Linked DNA regions of Elephas maximus indicus. The protein of the gene in region 4 interacts with the protein of the main gene of each other region in a pairwise test. Links are inferred from orthologs where the notes say so. Each region holds a gene or a part of one and is shown on either strand. Other genes may lie near its edges. The genes, in order: RPRM, TNMD, PLP2 and TMEM79.

Region 1 (7,091 bases), on a different chromosome or scaffold from region 4:
AACTCCTCTGAACCTTTTTATTGGCCTGGGGCTGACTAAATTACACGGAAGGCTGGGTCTCTCAATCTCGCCCAATCACTAGAAAACGGAACGTGAGAGACAATGCCTCTGGTGGTTTAGTGACAATGCTTTACCCCAGGGATTGTTAGCGTCATTATGTGCTTTAGCACAATTACATTTCTTCGCACTTTATAGTTTTTTTCTTTCTCTTTCGAGCCGCATCTCAACCCTTTCTTGCTGACGTTGATCTAGGGAGAGATGTCGTCCCGGAAGGCTGGCCAAGCCTTGTCTTCCTTTCATTATTGGTGTAACCCCGTCTTCCCGCCGGAGCCCGGCACGGAAGCGTAATCTCCCCGCGGGGCCCTTATGTCGTCTCGTCTGGCTCAGAATGCTTGGCTTAAATGAAATATAAAGTGGAAACTCTGTAAGAGAAAACGAAGGCTGTTGCCTCTCAGAAGGCTCCTGTGCCTGGGGCTTGGGGATGTCTCACTCGTCCTTTGGCCTCTCGGTCTCGCCCCAACCCTCACCTCTTCATCAGATCCACGAATTGAAGCATAGCTCTCCAAGGCCCACAACCACACTCCTCACCCCTGCCTGTTCCCATCTGCCGGGGAGCGCAGAATGACTACCCGAAGGCCAGGCACAAAACATTTAAATGTCGCATTTATTAAAGAAATCTTAAGAAAAAAAAGTCAAAAACGGTGTCACGGATGTCAAGAGCACTTTTGTGGCGTAAACTGTGCAGTCACGAGCTATGAGTTCTATTCCGGGTCTTTACCGAGGCGGCAGCTGGGGGTCCAGCACACCCAGAAAGAGCCAGTTGAAAATGCAGTAAAAGAAACAACTTACCCTTTTCACATTCGCAGGCCCCCCTACCCCACCCATTCTCCCACGGTAACAAAATTCTAACCCCCAGGCAGGCAAACAGACTACTCGGGCAGAAAAGAACTTATCAAATATTTGTATTCAAGCAAAAAACAAACAAACAAAAATCCCTTAAAACGACACATTACAATCAATCACAGGCATTTATCGCCTCTCCCCGCCAGGGCTATGGGGAGCGAGAGGGAGTGGGCGGGAATCCAGACACGGGTTTGTGAGTCCCCATTAGGTCTGCTGCGTGGCGCATACACAGGTCATTTTTCGGCCACCAGGCGATCGGTGCCCCTGGGTCTCCCCCTGCCCGCCCTGTCCGCCTGCCCCCAGCGCTCGGCCCACCTGCGGGTGGAGAAGGGCCTCCGCCCCGTCGGTCTCCCCGCATCCCACGCCAGCGGCAGCTTCCAAAGTTCTGAGCCCTAACCGCCCTCTTCTCGCCACTTGCTGCCGAGTCCAGAAGTCCGGCCGCTCTCCTTTTCCAACAGCCAGGCACCAGAGCTTTCAGAGGGCGAGCGAAAAACCGGTCGCTTCATCCTGAAAGGCAGAAGTCGAGAGAAATAATTGACTCCGACAGGTTTGCTTTGCCCCGTCTGGGACAGTAAAGGGCGCAGCAGGGCGGGCGAAGAGGGAAGGCGTGGGGGCGGCTGCCGCGGGGGCCGGGTGGCCGGTCAATAGGGCCCTACGACCACCGCCTCCACCTCCTTAGACGGTCTCCGGTCCTTCACCAGGAAGTTGATCATGCCTTCGGACTTGATGAGCAGGTTGCAGCCGAGGAAGAAGATGCCGAAGACCACGGTGAGCGAGAGCACGCACATGACGGCGATCTGCACCACGCGCATGATGTACAGGCTGCGCTCGTCCGGGCCGCCCTCGGCGAAGCCGTCGTCGGTCACCACGGACGCCTGGGTGCAGCAGCGCACTGCGCGCTCCAGCGCCTCGCTGCTGTTGGCCAGGAACAGGCCCGCCACGTCGGTCTGGTTGCCCAGCGCCGGATTCATCGCGGGAGCAGGCGGGCGCCCCGGGAGGCGCGGATCCGAGGGCTGGGAAGGCGGTGGCGCGGGAGGAACAGGTGCCCCGCTGAGCGCTCACTTGCAGATTTGAGCGCGGGTCTAGTCTTTATCTCCTTTCGAAAGTCCCTGGGCCGTGGGAGTTTCCCCGGAGCCTCTCCGACGCTCGCAGCAGCCCGGCTCTTCTGCGCTGTCCGCTTCTGCCCGGGCGGTGCTTGTTCCCGGAGCTCGCTCGCTGGGGGGTTGTTGGAACTTGGCGGGGCTGGGCCAGCCGGGCCGTGGGAGGTGCGGGCGGTGGCGGCGGCCCTGGCGGCTGCTCTGAGCGAACAGCGGCCTCTTCCGGCCGCGCGGTGACTCTGCACCTGCTGTCATTGAGCGGTGGAGGAAGCAAAGGGGCGAACCTAGTCTTGTTCAATTCGCCTCTTCTCCCACTCCTCAGGCCAGGCAGAGGTCACTGCACTCTCCTGGCTTGATGGATGATTAAAGAGGTTGGAGGAGAGGAGGGAGGAGGGGTTGCGGTCAGCTGAAAGTTTCCGAGGAACTGGGTCACACCAGCTCTTGACGTCCTTTGCCTTCTGCCCTTCTCACCTCTGAGTGCATGCAAAGTGGTGATGAATCGCAGGTGCCAGATGGTCCTTGCAAATGCGCGGTCCTTTTGCCTGTGCCTGCCTTCTCTCCTGTGTCGCATTTCTAGTGGAGTGGGGGTGAGTTGAAAGTTTTGTTTGTTTTCTAAACAGTGAAGTTAGGGGGGAAAGAAGGACGAGATGGAGAGAGAGAAGACGGGAGTGAGGAAGGAGGGAAGAAGGCGGGAAGGAAGGATAGAAGGGGAAGGGAGGAAGGAAGAGCCCTCTACCCGTCACAAAAACGGTTGGGAAACAGAGCAAGGGAGATTTTGTAGTGATTTTTGAGGGTAAGGAAAGGAGGTCAGAGGAAGGAAGTGTTCTTTGGCCCTGCGGGGAGATGGTTGCCAGGAGCAGGGTCACTTCTCTGGTAAGGGAGTGAGAGGTGGAGAGAGTGGCCACTTGCTTGCAATCTTAATTGCAGGTGAGTTTTTGGATATACTTCCAGCCTTTCAGTTTGTTGGCCATAAATCCGTTTAAGGGAATTTCTCATCAACATCTATCACCTCGAACGCTGGCAGACTTCTGGAAGCCCTCCCATTTTCCACGAGCTGATGTATTTCACCCTTAGTCATTTTAAACTAAACTACAGCTGTTTTAGGGGGCTGGCTGAGGCTTCAGCCCATTCATTACGTTTTTGGTGCTGATTTCAATGAAGTTTTATGCACTTCTCAGATCATTTCCTAAGATTTAGAAGAACACTTCAGCTGTTTTCTCTTTCCTACTTTATTTTCTTCCTTCCTTCTTCCCACTTCCTCCCTCCCTCCCTTTCTTTCTTGAAGCTGTAAGAGTTGGTAACCAGGAATTTGAAGCCCAGTCCAAACTTTTGACAGCATGAATTTACTGGTTTTTATTGAAACATGGTACCTTAGACCATTTTCAACTCTACTCTCAATTCCATTCTATTTGCTTGTTCAACCTTCTTATTTTTTCCATGTTCAGAGATCTCAAATGATTTTGCACTACTTCATGACAACCACAAAATAGAAGGAACTGCCATTTGGTAATATTTGGGTGTTGTGTTCATTGTATAAACCAAATCTGTTGCTGTACACTCTGTTCTGACTTCAATAAATTGCTGTTGTTATTTCGGGGAGATGTTTAAAAGAAGGCTCAGTTTTCTGGGCCTTAACCACAATTTACGTTTTTTTTTTTTTTTGCCCCGGTTTCTCATGATTAGGTCAGCTGTGAGAATGCCCCACTCAAACAATTTCCTTTGGAAAAATTTATTATTGGAAATTGGGAAGAATTTACTTAAATCTCACTATAGAATCAATCTATCTTAGTTAATATGAATGATACTTAGGAATAATAAGACAATGCATATGTGAAAAAAATTACAGGAGAATTTAAGACAGTATAAAGCATTACTAAAAAGAATGGTAGAGGCAAGTAATGCAACAGGAATTTAGAAAAGCAAGAGGTCATCACAGAATAGAGTCCGACTTCTTGGTTCTGGGAATGTCAGCTTGCACAGGGTCAGGTCTCATGTTTAATAGAATTTGGGTGAGGATAAATAGAAAGGGAATAGCACCTTCTGTATGTGGCACAAGCAAAAAGACAGACATAATTTATAGTATACTTGTAAGATCCAGCTTGGCAGGATCTGTGTTACACATATTGCTAAAAATATTAGGTGAATCATTATCAGAAACCAAGTATAGTTGTTACTTTTAACAGTATTATTGTTTTAGTAAGAAGTCAGCATTAAGATGATTGACCTTTGGAGTTATAGGAGGTTTTATATCCAGTCAAACATTTCCATTTTAGGAGTATATTCTTAAGAGCGGTAAGGTGTTATGGATTGAATTATGTCCCCTCAAAATATGTTTTGTAAATCCTAACCTCTATGCATATGGTTATTATTATGGATTGAGTTGTGTTCCCCCAAAATCTCTGTCAACTTGGTTAGGCCATGATTCCCGGTATTGTATGTCTATCATTTTGTCATCTGTTGTGATTTTCCTATGTGTTGTAAATCCTACCTCTATGATGTTAATGACGCAGGATTAGAGGAATTATGTTAATGAGTCAGGACTCAATCTATGAGATTGGATTGTGTTTTAAGCCAATCTCTTTTGAGATATAAAAGAGAGAAGTGAGCAGAGAGACAGGGGGACCTTACACCACCAAGAAATGAGAGCCAGAAGAATAGCATACCCTTTGCACCTGAGGTTCCTGGGCTGAGAAGCTCCTCATTCAGGGGAAGATTGATTACAAGGATCTTCCCCCAGAGCCAACAGAGAGAAAGACTTCCCCTGGAGCTGACACCCTGAATTCAGACTTCTAGCCTCCCAGACTGTAAGAGAATAAATTTCTGTTTGTTAAAGCCATCCACTTGTTGTATTTCTGTTACAGCAGCACTAGATAACTAAGACAGTGATAATCCCACTTGGGAATGGGTTGTCTTTGTAAAATGTTAATGAGGCAGGATTAGTATAGGGTATATCTTGAGTCAATCTCTTTTGACGTATAAAAGAGAAAAAATGAAAGCTAGCAGGAGAGATGGGGTAAGATAGATGCTAAGACACATGGAGATCACCAAGGAACCAGGAAGCAGAAACTGAAGAGACATGTACCTTCCTCCAGAGACAGTAGTGAGAAAAAGCATTTCCCTACAGCTCCAGCCCAGTGCCATATGGCGCTTCCTACAGCTAGAGCTCTGAATTTGGACATCTAGCCCCCTAACCTGTGAGAAAATAAGTTTCAGTTTGTTAAAGCTATCCACTTGTGGTATTTCCGTTATAGCAGCACTGGATAACTAAGACAGAATTTGGTATTGAAGAGTGTGGTGCTGCTCTAACAGAACCTAAAATGTAGAAGTGGTTTTAAAATTGGTAATGGGCAGAGGCTGGAAGAGTTTTAAGGTGCCTAATAGTTTTTTTTTTTTAATAGTAAAAGATGAGATTGCCTTGAAGAGTCCGTTGGTAGAATTATGGACCTCAAAGGCAATTCTGGTGAGGGTTCAGAAGGAAACGAGGAGAGCTGTAGAGAAAGTCTCTATCATCTTAGAGAATATGTATAATTCCAGAAACAGAATATTTCTAGAAATGTGGGCATTCGGTGCGCTTGTGCTGAAGCTTTAAAAGAAAATGATGAATATGTGATTGGACAATGGAGGAAGGGCAGTGCTTTTTATGCAGTGGCAAAGAATTGTATGAGATATGTTCAAACGTTTGGTGAAAGGTAGAGCTTGTAAGTGATGAACTTGGATATCTGGTTGAGGAGATTTCTAAGCAAGCTCTTAAAGGAGCCACATGGTTTCTGTTTGCCGCTTATAGTAAAATGCAAGAGGAAAGACATGGACTTAAAAATGAACTGTGCAAAATGAAAACGGAACTTAAAGACTTGGAAAATTCTGTTGTACAAACTAAGAACACATGTCCTAGAATGTTCACCAAGGACATGGCTACACAATCTTTTGTTACAGAGATTAAGTCTGTGACTAATGGATTTAACTAACTACCACAGCAGAAAACCCATCAGCTTAGACAGAAGGGGACAGAAAGAGCTAAAGGAAAGAACACTGTCTGCCTCTTTGAATCTACAGGCAGGATACAGGCCAAAGGAGCTATATCTGTTGTCCTCCAAGAAAGGAAAAGTACCATCCCTGGAGTAGCTCAGAGATCAGTGGAACTGTTGGAAGGAGCACAGAAAGCAGGGCCTTCTCAATTTTAAAGGGTAGGGTCATAGTCTCTTGGATCTCAAAAGGCAGGGCTGCAGTCTCTTAGGTTTCAAAGAGTCAGATCTTTGCCAACTCAGTTCTGGAGTGTGGAGCTACCGTTAAGGCATTCCAGGGAGATGGGGCTACCACTGAAAGCTGAGGGGGCACAGCTGCCATGCCCAAGGGGCAGAAGAATGGAGCCTTCCGGGGCCTAGGAGATGGAGTTGCCGCTCAGATGGACTAGGCGAATGGGGCCACCTAAAGCCAAGGGAGCAGAGTTGCTATCCCAAAGTACCTGGAAGAAGGAGGTGAAGCCCAGGAATGAGGGGCCTCCACCCAGAATTCAAAAGGTGTGGCCAACACCCTGAGTCTAGAGGATGGGTCCATTGCCCAGATAGTCTCAGAGAAGAGAGGATTATTTTCAAGCCTTGAGAGCTAATATAATTTGTTCTGCCGGGTTTTGGACTTTCCTCATGCCTATTGTGCTTTCTTTCCCTTCAATATCTCCCATTCTTAATGGAAATGTCTACCTTGTGCCTGTTCCACCATTGTACTTTGTAAACAGATAACTTATATTCTAGATTTCACAGGTTCACAGATGAAGAGGAATTTTGCCCCAAGATGGAATTCACCTAAACTCTGACCCATGTTTGATTTAGATGATTCGGTAGATGAGATTTTGGGCTTGGAGTTTATTTAAGATTTTGGGATGATGTGATGGGGTGAATGTGTTTTGAATGTGGCAAGGACATGAATTTTGGAGGGCCAAAGGGTAGAATATTGTGGATTGAATTGTGTCCCCCCAAAATATGTGCTGTAAATCCTAATCTCTATGCCCATGTTTATAATGCCATTTGAGAATGAGCTGTCTTTGTTATGTTAATGAGGCAAGGTTAGTGTAGGGTGTATCCTGAGTCACTGTCT
Region 2 (7,703 bases), on a different chromosome or scaffold from region 4:
GGTATAGTAATCTTACTATCATGAGAAGAATACTTGAGTCACTTAGAAGGTTTGACAAAATTAACTGAAGAATAAATTAGGGCCAAAATGAGAGAAAAATACATCTTGTTATATCAGTTCAGGCTCTCATTGCTCACCAGCCCTACTCGAATGCTTACATCATTTTCTGTAAAAAAAAAAAAAAAAAAAAAAGCACATGATATTGAATATAGTTGCTTTTTATCCTATTCATTCTCCTTTCATCTTACTCTTGCCTCTTATAGTCATTTCTAATATCCTGGAAGTTGGTCTGTTCCTCAGGCGAATCTAATTTATACTTATTTCAAAAAAAAATCTCCAAAAATTTTCACTGCCATGGAACTTGGGAGCAGAGCATCACCTTTGGCGAAATCTTCTTCTTTTTCTTGGACAGTCTAGTAATACAGGTCAGTAACTTCTCTGGCCATGAGGAGACCAGTAGCATGAAAGAGCAATGCCTGTGGGACCCAGTGAAAACTCTGAGACTTGGCCAAGGGAAAGGCAAAAGTGCTCCCCCCTCCCCATTCTGGGACCCCAAAGAAAGAAGAGAAAAAGACAATAAAAAGGTAGATGAGAATTCACATGGATAGGGGTGGGTGAGAGGACAGTGAAAAAGAACCAGGGGAAAGAGAGAAGAAACATTTACAGTGTAGTTAGGCCAGTGTGCCACTACCATAATCCCATTTTAGATTTGCCAGTTGAGCACTAATAAAACAAAACAACAACAACAAACACAAACAAGCAAACAAAAGTGTTTCTTCCTGGTTACAGAGCGGGTATGCTGTCAAAATACGGCTTTAGCTGAAATTTCCCACACCCCCTCAACTGATAGCAACACACTGTAATTACAGACAAAACTCAAGGGAAAAATAAACAGCTTTAGGGCATTCATTAATGGCTGTATTTTAGGCACTAATGACCCAGTGGAAACCCTGGTGATGTAGTGGTTAGTGCTACAGCTGTTAAGCAAAACATCAGCAGTTCAAATCCACCAGGTGCTCTTTGGAAACCCTACTGGGCAGTTCTACTCTGTCCTATAGAGTTGCTATGAGTTTGAATCGACTTGATGGCAATGTTTTTTTGTTTTTAATGACCCAATCTCCCACTCACCTTTCAGGGGTCATTAAGTGATTGCACCAGTACCCTAGGTTGCCTCACCCTGGCCTAGCAGTATATTTCCAGAGAATTTGCATTACACTATAGTTCTTTTTTTTTTTTTTATAGGTCTTAGTATTCACTGTCTTTGCTTTTCCTCCAAAAACCAAACCAAAACCAATGCCTTTGAATTGATTCTGCCTCACAGCGACCCTATAGGGCTGAGTAGAACTGCCCCATAGGGTCTCCTAGACTGTAAATCTTTTACAGAAGCAGGGTCTCTCAGAGTGGCTGCTCGGTTTGAACAGCTGACCTTTTGGTTAGCAGCAAAGCACCTTTCCTGGTGAGGTTAAAAAGGGGCCCTGGTGGTGCAATGGTTAAATGCTCAGCTGTTAACTGAAAGGTCGGTAGTTCAAACCCACCTAGCCGCTCCATGAGAGAAAGACCTGGCAGTCTGCTCCCATAAAGATTATAGCCTAGAAAGCCCTATGGGGCAGTTCTACGCTGTCTCATGAGGTCATTATGAGTTGAAATAGACTCAATGACACCTAACAACAACAACAACAACATCAGTAAGGTTAAATGTGGATTATTTCCTATTTACATGGACTCAAATTGACAACAGCAACTCCAAAGGCTGGAGAAAAAACTTATAGGGCAGTGAGTTCATGTTAAGGATGGAGGGATAATTCAGAAAAGGAGGGTGAGAATGGTTGTGCAACTTGAAGAATGTAATCAGTGTCACTGAATTGTACACACAGAAATTGTCAAACTGGTATATATTTTGCTGTGTACATTTTCATTAACTACAAAATAAATTATTAAAGACAATGTGGCTTATTTCATTAGCAGTCCAGCATAAAATGGTAAGGTGAATGAACTGAAATCTTTAAAATAGGCAAATGGGGCAGTGTGACAGAAGTGGCAAAGACCCACAGTGGCGTTGGGACTTTTTTTAAGACTTTGTTAGACAGGATTGATTTTTTCCCTCTAGCTCACCCCTTCTACTAGAAATCTTTAGTTTGAAAGCAAACGTACATAATATGAATTGGTACTCAGGTGTAAAAGTCCAGTGTTGCTCCTAAAAGCATGAACTTCAGTGTTTTGAAAGCCCTGAGTTCAAGACCCCATTTACTAGCTGTGTGACCTTGGGCAAGTTACTTATGGGTTCTGAGTCCCAGTTTCCTCATCTGAAAAATGGGGATAATAATAGTAACTATGTATAGGGTTGTTGTGAGAATCAAAGGGAGGTTAACGTATGTAAAGCATTTAGCGTAGCACTTGGCACATAGTTGACACCCAAATAAATGATGGCTTTTGCTACTACTATTATTGTTCTTACATACCTCATCTATTTCTTCCTCTGGTTCAGAAAATTCAGGAATCACTTTAATCTGAGTTTTGATGAAACATTTTTGAAGGCCTACAAAGTAGATGCCAGTGTATCCCTAAAAAACAGACAAAGCAATAACAAAACATCCTGAAATAACCACAATTAATAAATTCCATGATCTGTCAAGGCTCCCAGCTGGCAAAATTTGAGCTCAATGGGAAAGCTTTGTCTTATAAATTAAACGGAGACTAAAGGCTATTTTTAACTTGACTTAAATGCTTTAATATTTTAAAGCAAGCCTTCGGAGGAAAAATCCAACTTACATTTTTAAAGTCATGTACTTCCAATGTTTCATCAGTGCCATTTCCGCTTCTGAATATTTCAGTTCTGGTCACAGGATCAATTTCCATGTAAATCTTCTTCTTCTCTCCGTTGCTGTAGAAAGTGTGCTCCATGTCGTAGGTCTGGGAGAACAGAAGAAATAAAATTCTAAGACCCTCACTGTGTCCTTTCATAAGATCCTTTTATTGGGTAATATCTGGGGTGCCTTCTCTTTCCAGATCTTTTGTAGTGAGGTACCATCTCAGCAGCTTGCCATTGGGAATTCTCTGAGGCTTGAGATTTGAGATTAAAGTGAGGTGTTTTTTGGCACTAGAGCTGATATGGGGATCCCTTCAGAGCCAGGCTTTTATATTCAAGCCAAGTTGCTGAGCTAATTACTAAGAATTCCAACAGTTTTCTTGGCAGCCTTGACTAAATAGCAAATAATATCCTCCAAACCAGCCTGTAGTGTATTTTCCCCTTGCGTTAAGCAGAGGGATGACCCTAAAACCTATGCAGGTTCTTTAGGCTATCACTTCCTTCTTTAAGTGCTCAGTGCTCACTTCACCCCCACCCCAATGAAATTCACCAGAGCTGGGGGATTAGAACACATTTTGAGTGGTTAGGTTCTGTTCCCTCCTCATCTATCCAGGGCTTTAACACTGCCTCATTGGTCTGTATCTGTCCTTTTTAAGGTCTGAAGACCATTCTCCTTGGCCAGTATTAGGTAGCAGTCTTACCCTGCCCCTGCTTCCTTCCTTTTGGCCATTAAACTTCCTGGAGCCATTTATTGCTTTCCTTGAGTCTTCTCTTTTATAGATGAAGCAACTCTACCCAGCTTATTCCTGAATTCTGTTTGCCAAAATTCATTCAGTTCTTTCCAAGTTCTCGAGATTTCTCCTTTATATAGAATTCAGCAACTGTGTCAAATGCCTTGAGCTAAGCAATATGAAGTCTCCCAAGAAAATTGCCTTGGAAAAGCTGCTTATCAGGTTTTTCTTGAGTGGTTAGAATAAAACCCCCAGACTTTTTGCCTGCCCTCTGAAGGAGACACTTCTTTCTAAGAACCAAGAGGATCAGTCCCACAAAGTAGCCCATTTTAGGAATAAGCTCATCACCTAAATCTGAAGACATATGTATAGCTAGAAGCAAATAACATGCATAAAGGAATTTGCCACCTGTCACAAACCAGGCCAGTCCTGATGGTCCTATTTGGAAGTCTATCTTATCCCTATTGTTAGGAGGCCTTCAGCGATCAAGTTTCTTCAAACTCATTTTTTTCTCTTAGCAAAAAATTGAGAAAACTGAAAGCCTGAAAAAGCAAGTGATGTGGAGAGCCAACATTGCTTTCTAATGTTCCCAGTGGCAGCCTCTTAGATCTCGTACTGGGTTGGGTTGTTTTTTAATGTCTGCTGATGTCTGTGACTGAATGTTAGTTTAACCTGGTCAAATTTTCCCCAACTCAGGTAGAAAAACAAGTTGGAACAGTTTGTAGAAACAAGTGTCACTTCAGGCGTGAGAAGTCTAATGTTAGCTGCTGAATAGAAAAACAAGAGACAATGCACTTACGTCATTGTCACCTGATGGTGGTTTGGACTTGGTTAAAAAAAAAATTTTTTTTTTAAGTATTTGTTGGATGCATTTTCCCTATCAACAGCAAATTCTCATTTTCCTAAAGAGATATTTTGAGCATTGGCAAAGGTCTTTTAAGAAACCATATTTTAAAAGGGGAAGAAAAACCTCATTCAGCATCCTTCGGCAATTGCAGAGTTACCTCAGGAAGTGCAGCCTGGTTTGTGACAGGTAGCAAATTCCTTTAGGCTTGTTATTTGCTTCCAGCTATAAATATGTCCTCAGTTCCAGCTCTGCAGCCAGCCTGAGAAGAGAGACTTCTACCTATGGCAGCAAATTGAGCTCTCAGTCGGCCTGACCTAAGTAGAGGAAAGAGGCATCTACTTCAGATCCAGTCTTGTCAGGTCTCCCGACAGGGGGGGAATTTCGTTAGAAATACTATCCATTGCTAAGACAAATGTCAACACCAATAGCCACTGGGGGGCGGGGTAGGGTGTTTGTTTCATCAGTAGCACCACTGATTGATTATTGCATGGAAAAATGAGGTTAGGGACTAGGGGATGTTGGAATGCTGCCTACCTGGGCAAAGGAGAAAATACAGGCTGTACTTTCAATCATTAGTAGAAGACTATGGAACTATATTGGTGACATTTAGAACTTCAGTGTACTTCTGTGGAATGAGTTTTCCTGCACTATTGGCAATGTACTTCACTTGGACACCTTGCTAGATGAAAACTACTGGAAACTGCCAAGCTCAGCAGATCTTGATTATTTTCAACATTCCTTCAAATAATTTTTTGAGGGGGGGGTCCGTTCTGATTGCATTTATCAACCCGCTTATTTAGGAATGGTGGATTGTTAATTAAGTGGGATCAGAATGACTTCATTTATGTGTGAATCCTTGGTGGGGGATGGAGGTGGGGTGAGGGCTATATATATCTACCCAGATGGAATTCCATTATCAAAGGTGTCCTTTTGGAACAGACTGACTTTTGTCTAGGAAGATGATGCCGGTGACCCACTTTGGACTGCTTGGGGATGGGTTTGAGCAAATCCAGACATACTGTCTCGCTTGGGTCCCTGTGGAACATATTGCTTGGGTAATGGCTATGCAAGCTTCACTGGCCCATATGAAGACTGAGCTCATGCTTTTGGCCTCAGAAGTGTCTTGCTCTCTACTAAGCTCCCTGGCTCAGGGGGTGAGGGTCTTTCTGGGGATGAATAAATTGTTTTGTCCTTTCCAGGAGCAAACCAGAGCAGAGACAGGACGACTGGCCTGAGGAAGGTGGGAGTGGTCTACCAGTAGCTCCTCTCAGACTCTGACCTCAACGCAGTTTTATTCCAGGAAGGACAGAGCAAGGACAGAGTGTGACGAAGAGTACACTCCTGCCAAATTGGCAAATAAGGAAAGTTAGTCTTTGATGCTTCTTAGTTCCCTTTTCTGTTCTCTTTTCATATCCTGCTCACTCTGTACCTTTCTAGCCCTTCCCCCTCCTCTTCCCATCTCCCTCAGCCCCTTTGCCTCCTGTCTAGACACCTAGGAATCTCATGGTGCTTCAGGTCTCTTCTGTCAAAGAAGAAATCAATTTGACAAATAATTTTACACTAAGATGTTAGTGGCGGATATTTGTCTGTGAAAAAAATTGGAGGCAATATTGAACTCAAAGGAATGAATTGCTAATGGTGGATTTTAGGCACTGCGACACCAGAAGTAGGAAATATTTTGGTGGTGAGGCATCTTTCCAGCACCTCTCAAATGGGCATGTATTCCACCCACACATAAGGCTGGCCTTAACTATAAGAATCAGAATACTGGAGTGGGGCAGGAAAGCCAATGGAGTGGCATATGATTCCGAGGTGAAATGAGATAGATACATGATTAAGCCCAGGCAGTGAGAGGTGTAAAAAGGCTACACTGACAAAACATGGAAACAACATAAACTCATTCTTCTTCCCTGCCCAGGAACTCTGTCCTCAGTCTAGTTAAATCCTCCGCTCAGGCAGCAAATGATCCCTAACATCCTCTTTCACAGTTTGTCTTGTTTTCTTACCTTTGTTTGTGACAGTCTCTGAGACCAGAAAAGAAAGCTTTTTATAAAGAGTAAAGCTGCCTCAGACCTCAGTGTGATGGATCTGTTTTGGGGGCAAGTAGCTTTAGCCTGCCCTGGAAGGGATTTGAGGACATTTGGCTTAGGTTTGTTTTTTGAAGTCTGTGATTAATCTTGCTGCTCCTCTCTCCACCTTCATCCTTTACTGTCTGTTTATGAGGTACACCCTCCAAAGGTGAAATACATGCTCAGAATAACTGGCTAGCAGGTGTTAGGCTGTAAGGAAGGGAAGGGAATGCACTGTATCATATCATTACCAACCTAGCCTGTGTGAATTAAAGGGCCTCGGGGTATTTCTTTACCAACATAGAGCAGACAGACTGTTTCTTACGCAAACTTGGACTTCTGCATCTTCAATCACTGGTTCTTAGCCCTGAAAAAAATTGGCATAAGCAGCACAGACATTCCTCTTTTTCAACAAGAAAAAGCCATTTCTTTCATCTACAGACTCAAGCCGGTTGGGAAGTTTTTTCTTACTCGCTACCCTACCCCTTCTTAAATGCAACTGAAGAATAGTGGAAAGAATCCCCAGATCAGATTCTAGTCCCAGCCTCAACTCTACCACTTACAAGTTGTGTGATTTTAGGCAGGTCACTGAATATCTCTGGGACTCGGTTCCCGTCTATACTCCCCATTCCTTTCTAGATGCAATGTCGAATACTTGGCAAAATCAATTTTGCACAGATTGGGGTTGATATCTGTCGAGTTGATTTTACGACTAGCTACTACCTGTTGGTCACCTGAGCTTCTTTCCCTCTACAGCCTCAATTCCACTCTCAGCTGCCTCTCAAGGGCTCTTTTTGAAGGCCCAGGCGTTCCTTGCTGGTACCACTGAAGTTGCTCAGCAAATGCTGCCTTAGGAGAATGAAGGAACTTAACAAGAATGTGCCCATAGTGGCCAGAGTCTGGGTCTACATAACTGGTGCGAGTTGCCCCTTAGTAGCCCAGAGCAGGAGCTGGCTCAGTGGGACTTGCTGTACAAGGGTGAAGCTGGCTGTCACAGGGCTTGGGAGGAAAAGAAAAAGAAGTATTCTTTTCTAAAATGCCGACGTGGCACCATCTGGTGAAGTTCATTCCCTCTGCTAAAGAGATTCCTGCTACAACTCCAGCTTTTTCCTTGAGGGTATAAATGCTTCTCCAGATCCACATTTCACCCACTAAACTGCTGAGTAGGAAAGCCAGGGGAAGCTGGAGAAGAAAGTCGTAGCCCCCGTGCACCTACAAGAGGAATGAAGACAGATGGTCTCTGGCTTGTG
Region 3 (7,924 bases), on a different chromosome or scaffold from region 4:
GTCCCGCGGGATTTGGCCTCACTTTTAGTGGCGGTCGAGATGTTGCCGGGGACATGCCACTGGCCGTGCTCGGGCTGCTGGAGGATGGGCCGGCGCAGCTCTGTGGTCGTTTGCAGGTAAGCACCAAGGCGCCCTCCTTTCTCCTCTGGATGCTATCCTGGACCCCCCCCCCTTTGTCAGGGTGCCCTCCATTGGCCCTTCCTATAACACCCCTTGACTCATGCCCTTGCAGGCCGGCGACCTCGTGCTCCACATCAACGGGGAGTCCACGCACGGCCTCACGCAGGCCCAGGTCGCAGAGCGGATCCGCTCTGGTGGCCCCCGCCTACGTCTTGTGCTCCGCAGGCCTTTTGAGACCCACCCCGGCAAGCCTGAGGGGTTGAGAGGGCCCCAGAAAAGAGGTGGGGGGTGTCCCAGTGGAGGAGGGTCAAGGATCTGTGTGGAGAAGAGGGTCGCAGAGTGGAGGAACTGGAGTCCTGGGTGGGGGAGTGGTTGGCGGTCTCAGTGGCGAGGGTCAGCAGTCGGTGCCTGCTGGGAGAGGTCGTTGTATTTTCAAAACCGGGGCGGGGCGGCAGGGTCCCAGTATGGGAGTAATTGTGCTTTTCAGGGAGGAGTTTTCGAGGTACTGGGAGGGGAAAGGAGGGAAGGGGCCTGGGGTAAACGCGTGTTCAGAGGGAAAGATCGAGAAGGGCAAAGCATAGTGGTCTCAGCAGGGAGGGAATAGGGTCCTAGAGGGTAGGGGAGTCTGGTTCCAAAAGATGAGAAGTTGATAAGGAAAAGGAGCGATGAGACTCGAAGGAGGCCTGAGCGAAGAAAGGGTCAGGAGTCGTACAGGGAAGGGGTTCGGGTTTCCGAGGTCAAGGTTGGGGTTTGATTTCCTTTGAGGGTTGTGGGAAATGATTCCTGAGGAGGGTGTCCTGGATCCAGGAGGGAAAAGGTCTCAGTAAAGAAGGTGTCCCAACCTTTAGGGAGGTTTCTCTCAGGGCGGGAATCTCTGTCTCCGGCAGCCCTTGGAGTATCTGGTGGCCCTCAGCCAAGGTCCCCCCCCCGCCTCCCACCCCACCGCCCAGTCTAACCCGCAGTCCTGCCATTCCTAGATCGCAGCCTGGATCCTAGGGAACTGGAAGTAAGGAGGTCTTGCAGCGCCAGCGCTTCCCCACTTCAGCACCCTGGGTCCCGGACGACGGCCAGGACCCAGGGCCTCCCAGAGCCTAGCTCAGAGGCGGCGGTCAGCGTTGCAGCGGTTTCTCCTTCTGAGCGCCACACGGAAGACCCCGACGACCAGTCTCCCAGCTCCCCGGGACCCTGGCTGTTGCCCAGCGAGGAACGGCTCTCGCGGGCCCTCGGGGTCCCCAGGAGCTCGCAGCTTGCTTTGGAGACAGCAGCCGCAAGGCAGACGCACTGAGTGAACATCCGAAGGCCTGGTGCTCACTTGGTACAGCCCCGCCCACCGCAAACTAGCAAGGTCTGGAGAGCTCCCACTTACTCTGGTGCCCCTCCTGCTGCGCAGTCGACCAGCCCGCCATCCCCTTGCGGCGTTAGTGGTATGGCTCTTCCTGACAGCCCGCCCTGCGCTTCGAGTCCAGAACGGAGGAAGTAATAAAATAGTTTTATCCAGTCTGGACTTGCCAGGTACTCTAAGCAGGGTGGGGCTGCCCAGGCCACCCTGTAAAGGAGCGGTGGGCCAGACTGGTTTCTAGGTGAGACTCTTCTCGTGCTGTTTGTTTCATGTCTCCTGATGGGTGTTTGTTGCTGCCTGTCCCTAGCTGGGCATGCTCTCTCCACACTTCTTTTCTCTTCATCAACTCCTGCTCCTCTGTCCATTCACACATTTCACTTTTTTTGAGGCGCGCGGGGCTCACAGTGCGCGGGGTGGAAAATGCAAAAGTGGGCTTGTTGTGGCGGAAGTGCACCAGTATACCCGCAGCCCCCGCCTGGAATCGTCTAGACCATCAGCTAACGTCCAGATAGCATGGCTAGAAGCAGGGTGGCTTCTTTCGCCAGGAGCCTGCGGTCTCCCGCTTCCGGCCTCGTCTGCCAGCTTTCACTGGCACGTAGCCTGCCACGGCGGGGGAAGGGGCACGGGATGGGGCCCTGGAGCCCCCTTTGGGGTGGAGACTGGAAGGTGTGAGTCAGCGACCCCAGGCGGGCCGGGCTAAAAAAGGCTGTTAAAAACTTTGGGCCACGCCCATCTCTTCCATAGATGGTGACAAACTGCAGCGGACTGAACTTGTGTGCACACGCCACCCACTTGGCGTTCCGGTCCCAGGAGAGGCCCAGAGGCTCCTCCACCCTGGGAACAGAGCCCTACAGCCTTGGCTTACATGCCCAGCGGGACTCCAACCATAGTATCCACGCTCTGGCTGAGGCCAGAAATGACCAAGCACCTCCGCTGTCACCACATCCTGAACACTTGGTTCCATCCCCTCAACGAAAGAAGCTGTGGTCGGCCTGGAACAGGCAACTCTCGCCCCTATTGTGAGAGAAGAAGGGGAAGAGAAATAAACGGCCCTGAGTGTGAGAGTCCAGGGTGGCACTGGTGAGGAGAGAGCAGCTGAAGAGTCAGGCTGGGAGAGCTGGGAGTTGGGGGATAAATAGGTGAACACTGGGATGGTTAGTGTTGTAAACATTATAGGGGAGCATGTTGGGGCTTCCAGCTACCCCTGATTCAGCCTGCCAGAGGTGTGGCTCTACCAAAGTCAGGAAAGGGCCCCAGAGCCCCAGTATTAATAAACACAGTCACACCCAGGAGACTAATAATAGTAACCCCAGCCACCATTTACTTTGTCTTATCCCTGCTACAGGCTTTACTCTATCTCTTTTCATCTCCTTACATCTATTCAACAACTCTCATGCATTCATTTCGCAGAGGAGAGAAGATAGCAACCCTATAGAACAGAGTAGAACCGCCCGGTAGAGTTTCCAAGGAGCGCCTGGCAGATTCGAGCTGCCCACCCTTTGGTTAGCAGCCATAGCACTTAACGACTACACCACCAGGGTTTCCAAGTGAGGCCTAGAGAGTGTAAATACTTTGAGGGAGGGGTTGAAGGGAGATTTAATCAAGGCCTGATTCCCAAACCTGTCCTCTTAATCTCACCTGCATTTGACAAGTATTAATTGAGCCCCAACTGTATATCTTGCACTGTGATAGGCACTGGAGAGTCGGGGGGAACAAATCAGAAAGATTTCTACCCTTGCATAGCTGATGTAGTTCGGGTAAATAGATGTTAGACAAGAAAATGAATAAATAAAAGATAATTTCAGAGAGAAATGAGAGATATGAAGATAGCAAAAGAAGGTTATATTGGGGGAGGTAATGATTGGGAGTTTCCGGCCTCTTTTAACATATGACATTTGAGCTGGGACCTGAATGACCAGAATACAGAGGTATGAAGAGCTAGGGAAGGGCATTGACATCAACGAGAACAGCAAGTACAAAGGCCCTGAGGCAGCACCAAGCTTGTTCTGTTCCAGAAACTCAGGTATGTCCTCACAGAATTAGGAAGCACACATTCAGCACTGGAAAAATATGTTTCATCCCTTCCACCATCCAATCACTCAGCACCCTGGGCTTTGAGGGGCCCTGGATTGGGAGTGAGAGCAGGAAGCCCCTTGGGTTGAACAGTCTTGGCCTTCCAGCAATGATTTTCCCCACCTCAAATGAGAAACCAAAGTCCAGTCTGGAGAGCATGCCCCTAGGCACATCTCAGGGAATCTTGTTCTGCCTGACCAAGTGCAGTGTCAGATGCAGAAATTGAGGCTGGGCCAGGAGAAATTACTTGATCAAAGTAACACACTGCAAATGTCACCAGCATTATCACACCCCAGGAGCCATGCCCTCATCTTGCCAAGCCTTCAGCAATAAACCTGTGCTCCTTCCCCATCCCTCATCTAGATAGGGCTCAGCTGACAGCCCCTCCCCTAAGAACCAGGAAACTGAGACCCAGAATTTATGGCAAAGATATGCAGATCTAAGAACGGAGAATCAGATCCTGGGTCCCATGGGCTCTGACACTATTAATAATGTTCACAGCCATTTACTGAATGTTTGATACTAATCAGGCTATGTTCTCAGCTTTTACACACTCTCATTTCATCTCCCATCACTTCGAAGAGGTTTATCCCACATTCCACGATCTTTCAACTGCAATTCTGAAGTCCAAAAAGCTCTGGAAACCGACAGTTTTCCCACAAGTTTAGCATCATTTGGTTACAAAACCTGACCTGGCCTAACAAGGGACAACTTTCAGCCTTACTTACCTTACTTACTGTGAACGTTCATAACTTTCCTTGAGGAAAAAGAAACGTGTTCGCTTCCTTTTTTTTTTTTTTTAATGGGCAACTCTTGACCCCCTGAGAGTGTTAAATAGTATACTGTATATGCAGCAGGGAAACTTCCTCAAATTCGAAATATTCCAAATTCCGGAAACGTACCTAGCCCCGAGTCTTTCAGGTTTAATCTTGATCGTTTTTTACAGCTAAAGAAACTGAGTCACTCTCACAAAGTCAGATTCCACCGTTCTGAGTTGAGGCAGCCTCCAGCGCATTTGTCTACAAAAGGCGAAGGGTCTCGCGATTATCGCACCTGGTACTTCGAACTGCCAAGCCTCAAAGGCAGGAGCCCTTCAGAGATGGGGTGCCCCACGGCCTGTGCGCAAAGCGGGGAATATCCGTGCCGGGCGGGGCGAGGGGGCTTCCGGGGCGGCAGCCACCTGGCCCGGCCCCCTCCGGCCCCGCCCGCTTCGGCTCCGCGCAGTGATTCACTCCCTCCTTCTCCCCTGGGCCCCCTTCCCGGTCCGACGGCCGACACCACGGCTGGGTGTGCAGCGTCCTCGAAACTGCGAGCAAGCGAGTAGATCCCCTATATCCCCAGGGACTCCGGCTCACGCCATGGCGGACTCCGAGCGCCTCTCGGCACCCGGCTGTTGGATTGCCTGTACCAACTTTTCACGCACCCGAAAGGGAATTCTCCTGTTTGCTGAGATTGTGAGCGTCCTGGGCCAGGCTGGTGGGCAAACGTGGGGTGGGATGGCTGGACCACGCGGAGCCCTGCGGCCCTGTGTGAGGCAGGCACGTGGCCGGAGGTGCTCTGCAGTGGGGCGTGGGTGGGTGGGTTCCTGGTGGAGACCCAAAACTAGGGGAGCAGGGCGAGTTGTTGGAGTTTGGGAATGGTGTTCGGGAGTTCCTGGCCCACGGAATGAGGCGAGGGACCAAGAGAGCATATAGGGGACAGTGTGGTGGGGGCCCGCATGGACTCATCAAAGGGTTCTGGGGGGTTGGGAAGTGGTGGCCTCCAGTGGCAGGGCGTGGCGCGGCCTGGGCACTGGCGGGCGGGCTGGCAGCGCGCCCAGGGGCGGGGCTTGTTGGGGTGGGGCCCCTCGCGCTAGTTTCACAGGGGGAAGGCGCCCTGCCTTCCGCCGGTTTTTCCTCGTCCTTCTAGGACCCGGAAGGAGGTCTTTTAGCTCTCCGGGCCACTGGAGAGTCTGGGTTTCCCGCCCCCTCAAAGTGGACGCCGCCTTTGAGTCACTCGTAAAAGGGGTGCGGTGCCTTTTAACAGATCCCTGTTCCTCGGGTGTCACTCTCTCTGCTTCCAGAGGGGTTGCTGGGGAACCGCATATCCCCACCCTTCAGGGCCTTGAAGCTGGAGCCAGCAGTGCTCACAAAACACCTCACGGCGAGGACCCTCCCCTCATCCGTCCCTGCCCTAAAAGAGAAAAAAGGAGAAGCTGAGACACCCAATTCTACTCATAACTAGCTGGGTGACCTGATCAAGTCGCTTAACCTCTCTGTGCCTCAGTTTCCTCATTTATAAAATAGAGATACTGATAATACTAATAGTAGTACTAATACTACCCAACTTATTACGTTATTGTGATGATTAAGTGAGTTAATATTTGTAAAGCTCTTAGAATAATGCTTAGAACACAGTAAACACACAATTTAAGTGTTTAGCTCTTATTATTTGTCATCTTCTCAGCCCCGAGAGGCTTCTAAATTTGAGACCCCTCAGCCCTGAAAGTTTATCAAGGCCCCTTTCTGGTGTCATCCCTCCAGATATTGTGCCTGGTGATTCTGATCTGCTTTAGTGCCCCGGCAAACGGCCAAGCTTACTACTCCTCCCTGCCTGTGTTTGAGATGATCCTGGCCGCTGTCTTCTTTGTCATCTACATGTGTGACCTGCACACCAAGATACAGTTCATCAACTGGCCCTGGAGTGTGAGAAAGGGGCTGACTTTGGCTAGGCTGGGGAGGCACCAGGCAACTGGGATTATCAAGTGTGTTTTGGGCGTTTATGTCCCTCTTCTCTCTCCTCACAGGATTTCTTCCGAGCACTCATTGCTGCGATCCTCTTCCTGATCACTTCCATTATTGTCCTTGTTGAGAAAGGAAAGGCCTCCAAAATCATCGCTGGGGTAAAGGCAGGGCAGCAGCTCCAAGGCACAGGGAGAGGGGTTCACATTTCTAGGGCCCATTTCTGCCTCTACTTCTGGTAGAAAGTGTGTCACCCTTGGCAAGTCATGCTTGTCCTCAGGGCCTCAAGAGTCCATGCTACAGAAAAGTCTAACTCAAGCCCTGGTTTTGTGTACTCCCGGCTGCTCCTTAAGATCAGCCTTTGCTGTAAAGGAGTATCCCTTGTCTGACACAGGGACTTTTGTGGGAAGTACAAACAGGTGGCCCCTTTGTCAACACACTAGACTACCATCTGCTGGAACTTTGTCTCAATAAATGTAGTTTGGATGATGCCCCCTGCATGTAAGGCCAGGATGTGGCTGCCCTGTGTTGAGAGGTGCTAGGAGGAGGGAGAGTGGGGTAGAGTTCAGTCTCCAGGCCTTTTCCTGGGGCTCTCTGGTTTCCTAACCTGGGGCTTGATTCATCTACATGGGGCAATGATTGGAGGTGGTGGATACAAGGAGGTAAGAGGCTGAGTAGGCTGACCAGCCTAATCCATCCAATTACCCTCACTCCCATTCTCCCCTCACTCCCAGGTACTGGGCCTAATCAGTACGTGTCTCTTTGGCTATGATGCCTACATCACATTCCCCTTTCGGCAGCAAAGACATACAGCAGCCCCCACTGGTAAGTGTGTGTGTGGTGGGTGCTGAGGAGGTAGAAAGGGAAGGGGAGTGCTGAGGGGGCAGGAAAGGGAAAGGGGTCTCCCAAGGGCATGAATGCCAACTCTGTCCCTTACTGGTACTTATAGCTTTGGCCCAAGGCTTGTCCTTTCATCCCCCCAACCCCAGTGCCGTCGAGTCGATTCCGACTCATAGCGACCTATAGGACAGAGTAGAACTGCCCCCACATAGGCTTCAGTATAATTGTCTGTAAAATGGGCATATGGATCCAGCCAATGCTTTCTCTCTTTTCCTCACCCTGCAGACCCCGCAGATGGCCCGGTGTAGATGAACTCTCCTAATTTCTCTCTGCAACCTTCAAATAATGCCTCCATCTAATAAGTCCTCCCCACCCCCACAACAACATTCCCAGCCAGCCCCCAGTCCCCTATTGAGGTAAAAGGGCCTTTATAGGGAGAATTTGTCTTCCAGCCTGTCAATCAACCCTCTTGGTGTGGCCACATTTATGGGTGTGGCTACCTCCCCCTTTCCTTCTCCAGTATCCAAAGGGAGACATCAGTTCTGCCTGGACCATGCCCCACCTAAGTCACAAAATGAGTAGGGAAGGGCACGAGATTGTGACCCACTCCAGATCTCCTTGGTGGGGGGTTTCTATGGAGGGATAAATAAAAAAAGATGGTTAGAGAAAATATGATAATGAATAAATTAATCCTTTGATCAAATGTGGATAAATTTCAAGCATCAGGAGGGGGAAAATTTGGGGGGTGGTCTGGAGCAAGGAGGCAAAGAAGCCAGGCCTGTTTTACAACAAATATTAATTATTTCAATAATGCAAACACAAGGGAGGAAGG
Region 4 (8,240 bases):
GAAGGCAGTACTCTAACATTCAGTGAACAGAGGCCAGAGATATGCTAAATACCCTGCCCCCCAACAGTAGCAGCCATCCACAACAAAGAATTACCTGGCCCAAACGTCAACAGTGTCAAGGAAGAGAAACTATGTAACACCCTCCCCCATAGAAAGAGCACAGGCTGTGATGTCAGGCAGAAAATCCAGGGATTGAACCCTGGCCGTGTCTTACTAACTCTGTGACTTTGGGCAAATTACCTAAACTCTTTAAGCCTTAGTTACCACCATCAATAAAAATGAAAATAATAGCAGCTATCTCAGAGGACTGTTGTGAAGATAGAATAAAATAATTTATATACCACACTGGTATACCATAGGCATCCAATAAATGATGGCGGAATGAGTAAATCATTATTATGCACGGGGTTATTATCTGACATAAAGGGAAGGCATCCCTTGTATAAAATTCTGCTTTGAAATAGTGGGGCATGGAAAAGTAGGAGGGGACTCTTGAGTGGCTTATTTGTAAGGTGGACTGTCCATTTCACCACTCAACCTAGTCTGCTGGATTCTACTAAAGGAATTGTTTAGCATACTGTTAAGAGTGAAGGCTCTGGAACCAGACTGCCTGGGTTCAAATCCTGGCTCTACTTCTGTCCAGCTAAGCAGCTAAGTGGTCCTGGGCAAAATACCTAACCTCTTTATCTTTCAGTTCTTCCATCTATAAAATGGGGATAATAGCATCATCTAGCTTGTAAGAATTACATTAGCCAATATACACAAAGCACTCAAAACAGCACCTGGACATAATAAGTGCTCAATAAGTGTTAGTCTCCATCCTTCTAAGGCTCAAGCCCTGAGAAGTAAGTTTGTCATCACAGCAAATAAAAGGCCAAGGAAAGTCTACAATCGAAAGCCAAAAAGTCCCAGAGGTAGATGACATCTCCAGAAGGGTAAAACCAAGAGCATGATAGGCACCAATAGGTGAATCAGGCATATATGTGGAAATAAAAGCAACCAAAAAACTGGGAGTGATGATTCCCAAAACAAACTAAACTGTGTTCCTGGGCTGGGGCGGCTTAGGTGGAACACCACTAAAAGCTGTCCTGTAAAGGACAAAGTGACCACCAGCACCCAGCTGAGTGAGTGGGACAGTAATCAAGGCCTTCTCACAGGCAATCTGAGAACTCAGCATTTCTCCAAAAACCTTTTGGGCTGCCTAGAGATGGCAGCCAAACCCTTTTAGCCAGCCTGGCCCTCGGTGCCAGGGACAGCATCTGGCAGCCATCAGTGATTTACTCCATGCCAGCTTAGTCCCCAGGCAGGGCTTCTCGACCTCAATGCCATGGAGAGATCTAAGGTGTTGGTGGTATGTGTTTGTGTTTATGGAGAGGCTCCAGAGCGCTCCTTAGACTTCTCAATCCAAAAATGGTTAATAATCACTACTCTAAGAAGTTCCAATTACAAGATCTCAAATCTGAAAGGGTTCAGCAGTCTTTTCCCCACTCCTCATCAGACCATAAGCTCCTTCCACTAAATTGTTTGTACAGAAACCAGTATTATGACTCATTCACTACTGTAATCCCAGGCTTAACACGGTGTTAATATTTTTTAAATGCTGAAAAAAGAAATAATTAATTTGCCTAATTAATTGGTGCTTTTATTTGTTTCAGAGCCCTGGTGGTACAATGGTTAAGAGCTCAGGCTGCTAATCAAACCGTCAGCAGTTCGAACCCACCAGCTGCTCCTTGGAAGCCCTATGGGGCAGTTCTACTTTGTCCTGTAGGGTTGCTATGAATCGGAAACAACTGGATGGCAATGGGTTTTCTGGTTTTATCCATTCCAGCATCCCTTCTCCTGTTGCCTTTTGAGTGCTTAAAACATTTCAGAATTTTATTTGAGTAAACAACTAGGTTGTGGGAGTTTCCCAAATTTACTGGAGTGTGAGTGGCAGCTTTATAGTCTAACAAGTTTATCTTGGGCAGAGAAGTCAGATCTTCCTTCGCTAGTTTCCTTCCACCAATCGCCCTTGCTATAATAAACAATAAAAACAGAGACGGGCTACCTCAAATTTCCACACTGCTCAAAGCCAACAACATGCAACTGCAGGTACAAATACCCATGTGCACACATGGAAACCACACGCACAAACACACCAGCTTAAGTCAGCTAAGACCTGTGAAGGTAGTGGCTTGAGAAAGAACTAGATTTGAGAATGACAAGAAAGATGACCACAGCCATCCCTAAAAGCTGGAGACTAGTAAGGAATGTTGCAGACATTGCCCACGCTCTGTCTGACAGGCAGCGCTGACATTCGGCAGCATGACGAGGCACACGTGTCACCCCCAGCTAACTCCTTACTTGCCTGGGGACTGCCCGGGGCAGCCCACAGTGGGAGCCCAGGGGCTGCTGGATTGGATCACCTTTCTATTTTTGGAGCAGCCTATGCTCCCCTCTGCCTTCTGCCTTCTGGCTTACAAAACCAGAGGAGGCAGGATGCCTGCTCAGGGAAGAAAACACAACATGCTCTTGACCCTTTCACTGCCTACATGGGGGCCAAGGCTCTGAAGGTAGTTTCCTCATGCAAACACTCCTGTTCTCTATTGCCTGTGATAAATGAAAACCCCAAGTTCTTCTCCCTAAAAGGGCATAAAACTCACCTCATTCTCTACGCTTCCTCCTATTCTGATCCAGTTCTGGGGTCCATGTTCTAGCTGCCCTACCCCCCAAATCCTCAACCCAGGCTGGGAAAAGCTCATACTGGCCTGCTCCCAACAGAGGCTGAAGGGCGAAGATGTGACGTGAGGAGTGGGTAAACACCGTGGAAATCAGAAACCAGGAATGGAAGCTGCCTGGCAAGGGACTGCAGTCATGAGGCTGGGGGAAAGGCAAGACTCAGGAGTCCCTGAGGGCCCTGAAGTGGGCTCCCATTTCCTAAGAACACCCTGAACCCAAAGTCCTTCATGGCCCTTCCTGTCGAACGCAACTAGCCTTCCAGCCTCTCTGTTCTCATTCAGACTCCCCAAAATTTATAGAGTCATAAATGGCTTCAAGAGCTTGTCCAATCCGAATCGCTCCTTTTAAGGACAAGGAAACCGAGACTCAAGGTCACACAGTCAGAAAACGGCGAAGCAATGACCCGAACCTGGCTTTGAGTCCGGGGCTCTTCCCTGTTAAGTCCGGCCCGCAGGAATCCCCTACAGGGTTCTAAGCACCGTTCCCTTCCGGGTTTTTCTCTATCTGCGGCCCCGCCCTCACCTCTCTAACCCTTCCAGCCCCAATTCCCAGCCTCTTACCACAAACCCGCAAAGCTCAGTGCCCGCCCCAAGTTCACCGCGGAGGGGATGCCTCCACGTGCTTCCCTCCAAACCTCCCACCCACCCAATTCCGCCCTTCAGCTCCATCCCGGTTACGGAGCCCCACCCCTCCTGCTCCCTCCAAAATTGCACCCTCCTCCCTCGCCCGCCGCCCAGCCCGGCACCTGGCCCCCGCCCGTCCGGGAAGCCCCGCCCCTCGCTGTCCCCCCACTTCCCTCGGCTGCTGCACTCACGCCCCAGCCCCTCTCACCGGTAAAGCCGCTTGGTGTGGAGGACCTTTGCTTCGGGCTCGCTGCTCTCCCCTGTCGGGGGGCCTTGGCTCATGGTGCCCGGGTCCGGGGACGGCTCCCGGTCACAGGCCCCCGCCACCTACCGCTGCCGCTGCCATTGCCATATCCAGCCGTAGCCGCAGCCGCCACCACCGCCGGCCCTGCTCGGCCGCCATCGCTGTGAGGACGCTGCCCGCGACAGCTCCTCCTCCGCCTGTCAAATCTCGCGATATCAGTCAGGCGCACGGTTGTAGGCCAGTGGCCGGCTACTGCCAAATCTCGCGAAACTCATTTTCCCTCCCGGGAAGTTGCCAGAACTAACTCTGGGCAGCATGGCTCCATTCTGGCTTCTCTAAGCGCTCACGAAAAACTTTATTGACAAAGCTTCCAGAGAACAGACAGTGGACTCAGGAGGCTGAAGCTAAACTGGATTGGGGCAGGAGAGCCAACAGCGAGGGGCGTCCCAGTGATCTGCCCTCATTCCCTCCCCATTTGAGCCGAGCGTCTTTCAGGTTACTGGTTAGAGTGACTCCAATTCTCCCTTTTTTCCATAATTAAAAAAAAAAAAGTTAAAATTTTCTTGGAAAAAGCCAAGGATCACATAGGAGTAAGTCCCAGTGAGACTTTTGTACAAGCATCGCGCCTTTCAGCTCCACCTCCGAAAGATTTTCAGCTTGCGTATCTCTCTCATACCAGCCCAGCAAACATTTATTGAATACTTGCTGTCTTCCAACCACCGTGCTGAGGACACAGAGGTGAGCAAGCTAGACACTAACCGTGGTCTCACAGAGTTCCAATGCCTTTAGGAATAAGATCGCACAGGAATGAAAAGCCACTTTTTCTCCCACTCGCTCACGTAGAAGGATCACCTGCTATCTAACATGGATTTGTATTGCTCTCTTAACCTTAATAAGTTAAAAAGCAAGGTGTCCCCGAGCCTGTTTACAGGTTGCAATGGGAACATAAATTTCCCTTCCACCACTATGCTCTTGGCTCCAGCCACCTGACCTTTCTGCTCCTGAAACAGTCTGTCCTTCCTACCTGTTGGCCTTTCACTTGCTGTTCCTCTGCCTGGAACACTCATACTCCTGATTTCCCATCAGGTCTCGGCTGGAATGTCACCCTGTCAAAGAGACTTTCCTTATTGAAATTGTCTTTTTGGCTTAGTTGCTAGGTTTTTTAATTATCTATCACCCCAATAGAACAAAAGCTCCTCAAGGACAGGGACCTTGGCTGTCACCTTGTTTTCTTCTGGGTCAGTACCTAAAATAGCATCTAGCTAATAATAGTTCAATAAGTATTTACTGAATAAATAAATGTACAAATTCCACCTCTTTTCTGGGCATTCCAACTTATTCCAATACCTGCGAATATACAAACCCACTCTTCCTCCTCTGCTTTCCTAGCTGGGAGCCCCTACACATCCCATGTACCTAAAAAGTGTACTGGTGCCTATGCCCACCTGCACCCCCACTTCCAGAAAGAATGAAGTCCCTCCTCTAATGCCTTTTCTGTCGGCCAATTCAGCTGGGCGGGGCCTGCTCCTTTAATCTGGGCCCCACCTGCTCTGGTCAGACAGGTTTGGAGACACAGGTAAAGAGAGGGAGACGGAGAGAAATACTTGTAGAGCCAGCAGGGAGCTGGGCAGCTCCTTCCCAGACACCGGCCAGGACCCTCCACCTGTCTCCAGATGGAAAGTAAGAGGGTGTCATGGGTCCAAACTGCGAGGAGGGGTAGAAGGGTCCTTGAGGAAAAGGAGGGAGCAGTGAGGTGCAGACCAAATGGCAGGGTGGAAAGAAAGGCAGGAGGAGAGACATGGAAAACAGCCATTATTAAACCTGGAAGTTGGGAATGGACAGACCCCAGCCCTGTGGAGGTAGATGAAGTAGGCCAGTGAGGTGTTTGGAATCTGACCAAATACCCAGATTGGAGCTGAAGGGACAGGGTGCCCTGGGACAGCTAGCTCCCTAGGACATATTTGTAGGCAAATCACGGGCATCCACTGCCACTAGAGTTCCACGTGGTGGTCTGCAGGGGGAAGGGCAGGTGGGAAAATAGGGGGGCAGCTTCTCTAGTCACAGGAAGGTCCTGGGTGGAAAGGAAGTTCTTGGCAAAGTTCTAGACACCTCCTCTTTCTCCCTTTCCTGGATTAGGGTGGCCATGACCCCAGGGGTTTTGGTGGAGTGGGGCAGAAGGCGTGGGTAGGCCAGCTGAGGCCATAACTGCCAGGACCTGTGCCCCCCTGACTCACCGTCTCCTGCTGGTTGGCATTTGGTGTCGAAAGGGAGCCTCCATTTCAGCTGCTCACTTCCCTTCCACCTCCCTCTGTTTCAACACCTTCCTCACAGCATGTTCTCCTTAAGGTCCCAGATGGGGCTCAAGCCCATCAAGGGTCTGTCCTGGAGAGTTCCAGCTCTGCCCGCTTGTCCTAAGGGCCAGAGGACAGGGGCACTGACAGAGCTTCCCTCTGCTCTCTGCAGGGTGACATGACCTCGCTGTAGACCCCAGAACTGAGGCCTCAGCATGACCAAACCTGAGACTGTAGCCCTGTTGGAAGTGAAGGGGTCCGAGGCTTTGGAAAAGAGCCCACCTCAGGCTTTGGTTCCCAATGGCCAGCAGCCAGAAGGGGAAGGTGGGGCTGAGTCCCCCAGAGCTGAGTCCCCCAGAGTGGAGTCTTCGGTTGGGTCTCCCATGGCTGGAGAGGGGACTGAGGATGGTCTGGACAGCACAGTGAGCGAGGCTGCCACCTTGCCCTGGGGGACTGGCCCCCAGCCCAGTGCTCCGTTCCCAGACCCCCCCGGCTGGCGGGGCATTGGGCCAGAGTCCCTAGAGTCAGAGCCACCTCCCAGGCCAGAGGAGCCATCCGAAGATGATGTGAACCTGCTGCCTGAGAAGGCAGCCCGCGCCTTTGTGCCCATCGACCTACAATGCATTGAGCGGCGGCCCCAGGAGGACCTCATAGTGCGCTGTGAGTCAGGCGAGGAGGAGCGCCGGGCCTTTCTGCCCACCCGGGCCACCCACCCTGAGCCCCCTGAGCGCAAGTGGGCTGAGGCAGTGGTGAGGCCACCTAGCCGGTCCTGCAAGGGCTGTGGGAGCCGTGAGGGGCTGAGGGCCGTGGCCTCGGTAGGGGCCGCCCTCATCCTCTTCCCCTGCCTACTGTATGGGGCATATGCCTTCTTGCCCTTCGATGCCCCTCGGCTGCCCACAGTGAGTTCCCGTCTGGTCTACACGCTGCGCTGCGGGGTCTTTGCCACCTTCCCCATCGTGCTGGGTGAGCTCGGGGCCCTTCAGAAGAAAGGGGACATCTGGGAACTAGACTCGAGGAGGGTGGGACCTGCTGGTTTGGGGAGCAGTTGGGTTTCCCTTCACTCGAGCTGGACCCCTCATGGCCTCCTGTGCCCTGCCACCTGTGTGTCCACCCATCTTAGGACCACCTCAGCCCCACTGTGTATAATCTATGCACTTTCCTTCTGTGGGGCCTGCACCCTCCACTGTGAACCCTGGCCCCAGCTTCCTGCCTAAAGCTCCTTCCTCCTGTCTTTCCTGACTCTGTGTGCTCCCCAACCCCACCCCAGGAATCCTGGTATATGGGCTGAGCCTGCTGTGCTTTTCTGCCCTACGGCCCTTTGGGGAGCCCCGGCGGGAGGTGGAGATCCACCGGCGATATGTGGCCCAGTCGGTGCAGCTCTTCATCCTCTACTTCTTCAACCTGGCCGTGCTTTCCACCTACCTGCCCCAGGACACCCTCAAGCTGCTCCCACTGCTCACTGGCCTCTTTGCCATCTCCAGGTGAGTTGGGACTGCGGGTGGAGCTTGAGGGCAAGGCAGTGATGCTAGAGGGACCCAGGCAACTGAATGGCTGGAGAACCAGGGACAGGGGTCTTTCTGGATTCTGCATCAGCCCAAATGTGAATCCTGGAGCAGTGAGTCCACTTTCTCCCTTGCACTTGACCTCACCTGGTAGTGGGTAATCAGCTCATATGTCTTCTCATAGGAAGCTGACTTCAGAGACATATATACCAACCTAGAACCTGAAGGGCATTCAGGCATCATCCTGACCAACCTCCCACCCGTTGTAGCCACTCCTCTGTGGCACTCTGGTCTAGTGGCCATTTGGCGTCTTGTTGAACACCCCCTCAGATAAGGGGCTCAATTCTTTACAAGACAATCTGTTTCACTTCTTAAAGGTCCTGATTGTTATAAAGGAGCCCTGGTGGCACAATGGTTAAGTGCTCAGCTGCTAACTGAAAGGTTGGAGGTTCTAACCCACCACTGCTCTGTGGGAGAAGAAACCTGGCGATCTGCTCCTGTAAAGATTACAGCCTGGGAGACCCCATGGGGCAGTTCTACTCTGTCACACTGGGTCTCTATGAGTCAGAATCGACTCGAGGGCACACAACAATTATTAGGAGTCCCTGGGCATTGCAAATGACTTGCACCCACTACTAATCAAAAAGTTGATGGTTTTGAACCCACCCAGTAGCACCATGAGAGAAAGGCCTGGTGATCTGCTTCCATAAAGATTACAGCCAAGAAAACCCCACGGAGCTGAATTCTACTCTGTAATACATGGGGTTGCCATGAGTCGGAATTGACTTGATGACAACAGGTTAACTGTTAGAAAGTTTTTATGTTGTGCTGAAAACTGCTGCCCCGACCCTGATCTCTGGAA

Evidence for each region.
Region 1: the proteins of TMEM79 (region 4) and RPRM interact in binary tests that used the Homo sapiens proteins (3 or more experiments, as listed by UniProt). The two-hybrid records come from large-scale screens. The link is inferred for Elephas maximus indicus from reciprocal best matches to the Homo sapiens genes TMEM79 and RPRM.
Region 2: the proteins of TMEM79 (region 4) and TNMD interact in binary tests that used the Homo sapiens proteins (3 or more experiments, as listed by UniProt). The two-hybrid records come from large-scale screens. The link is inferred for Elephas maximus indicus from reciprocal best matches to the Homo sapiens genes TMEM79 and TNMD.
Region 3: the proteins of TMEM79 (region 4) and PLP2 interact in binary tests that used the Homo sapiens proteins (3 or more experiments, as listed by UniProt). The two-hybrid records come from large-scale screens. The link is inferred for Elephas maximus indicus from reciprocal best matches to the Homo sapiens genes TMEM79 and PLP2.

The regions. Positions count from the first base shown.
Region 1 is NC_064824.1:50,633,280-50,640,370, forward strand, and holds RPRM (protein reprimo), read right to left. Parts: upstream 2,075-7,091; 5' UTR 1,875-2,074; coding exon 1,545-1,874; 3' UTR 1,411-1,544; coding exon of another isoform or gene 1,378-1,410; 3' UTR 967-1,377; downstream 1-966. UniProt on the Homo sapiens protein: May be involved in the regulation of p53-dependent G2 arrest of the cell cycle. Seems to induce cell cycle arrest by inhibiting CDK1 activity and nuclear translocation of the CDC2 cyclin B1 complex.
Region 2 is NC_064846.1:57,742,682-57,750,384, forward strand, and holds the start of TNMD (tenomodulin), read right to left. Parts: upstream 3,088-7,703; 5' UTR 2,962-3,087; coding exon 2,770-2,961; intron 2,562-2,769; coding exon 2,460-2,561; intron 1-2,459. UniProt on the Homo sapiens protein: May be an angiogenesis inhibitor.
Region 3 is NC_064846.1:122,413,351-122,421,274, reverse strand, and holds PLP2 (proteolipid protein 2), read left to right. Parts: upstream 1-4,786; 5' UTR 4,787-4,890; coding exon 4,891-4,986; intron 4,987-6,054; coding exon 6,055-6,216; intron 6,217-6,317; coding exon 6,318-6,413; intron 6,414-6,986; coding exon 6,987-7,077; intron 7,078-7,377; coding exon 7,378-7,400; 3' UTR 7,401-7,795; downstream 7,796-7,924. Other genes in the region: PDZ domain-containing protein MAGIX, read left to right, coding at 233-401, 1,083-1,405. UniProt on the Homo sapiens protein: May play a role in cell differentiation in the intestinal epithelium.
Region 4 is NC_064821.1:194,075,559-194,083,798, forward strand, and holds the start of TMEM79 (transmembrane protein 79), read left to right. Parts: upstream 1-5,156; 5' UTR 5,157-5,265; intron 5,266-6,048; 5' UTR 6,049-6,091; coding exon 6,092-6,839; intron 6,840-7,143; coding exon 7,144-7,357; intron 7,358-8,240. Other genes in the region: nonsense-mediated mRNA decay factor SMG5, read right to left, coding at 3,550-3,623.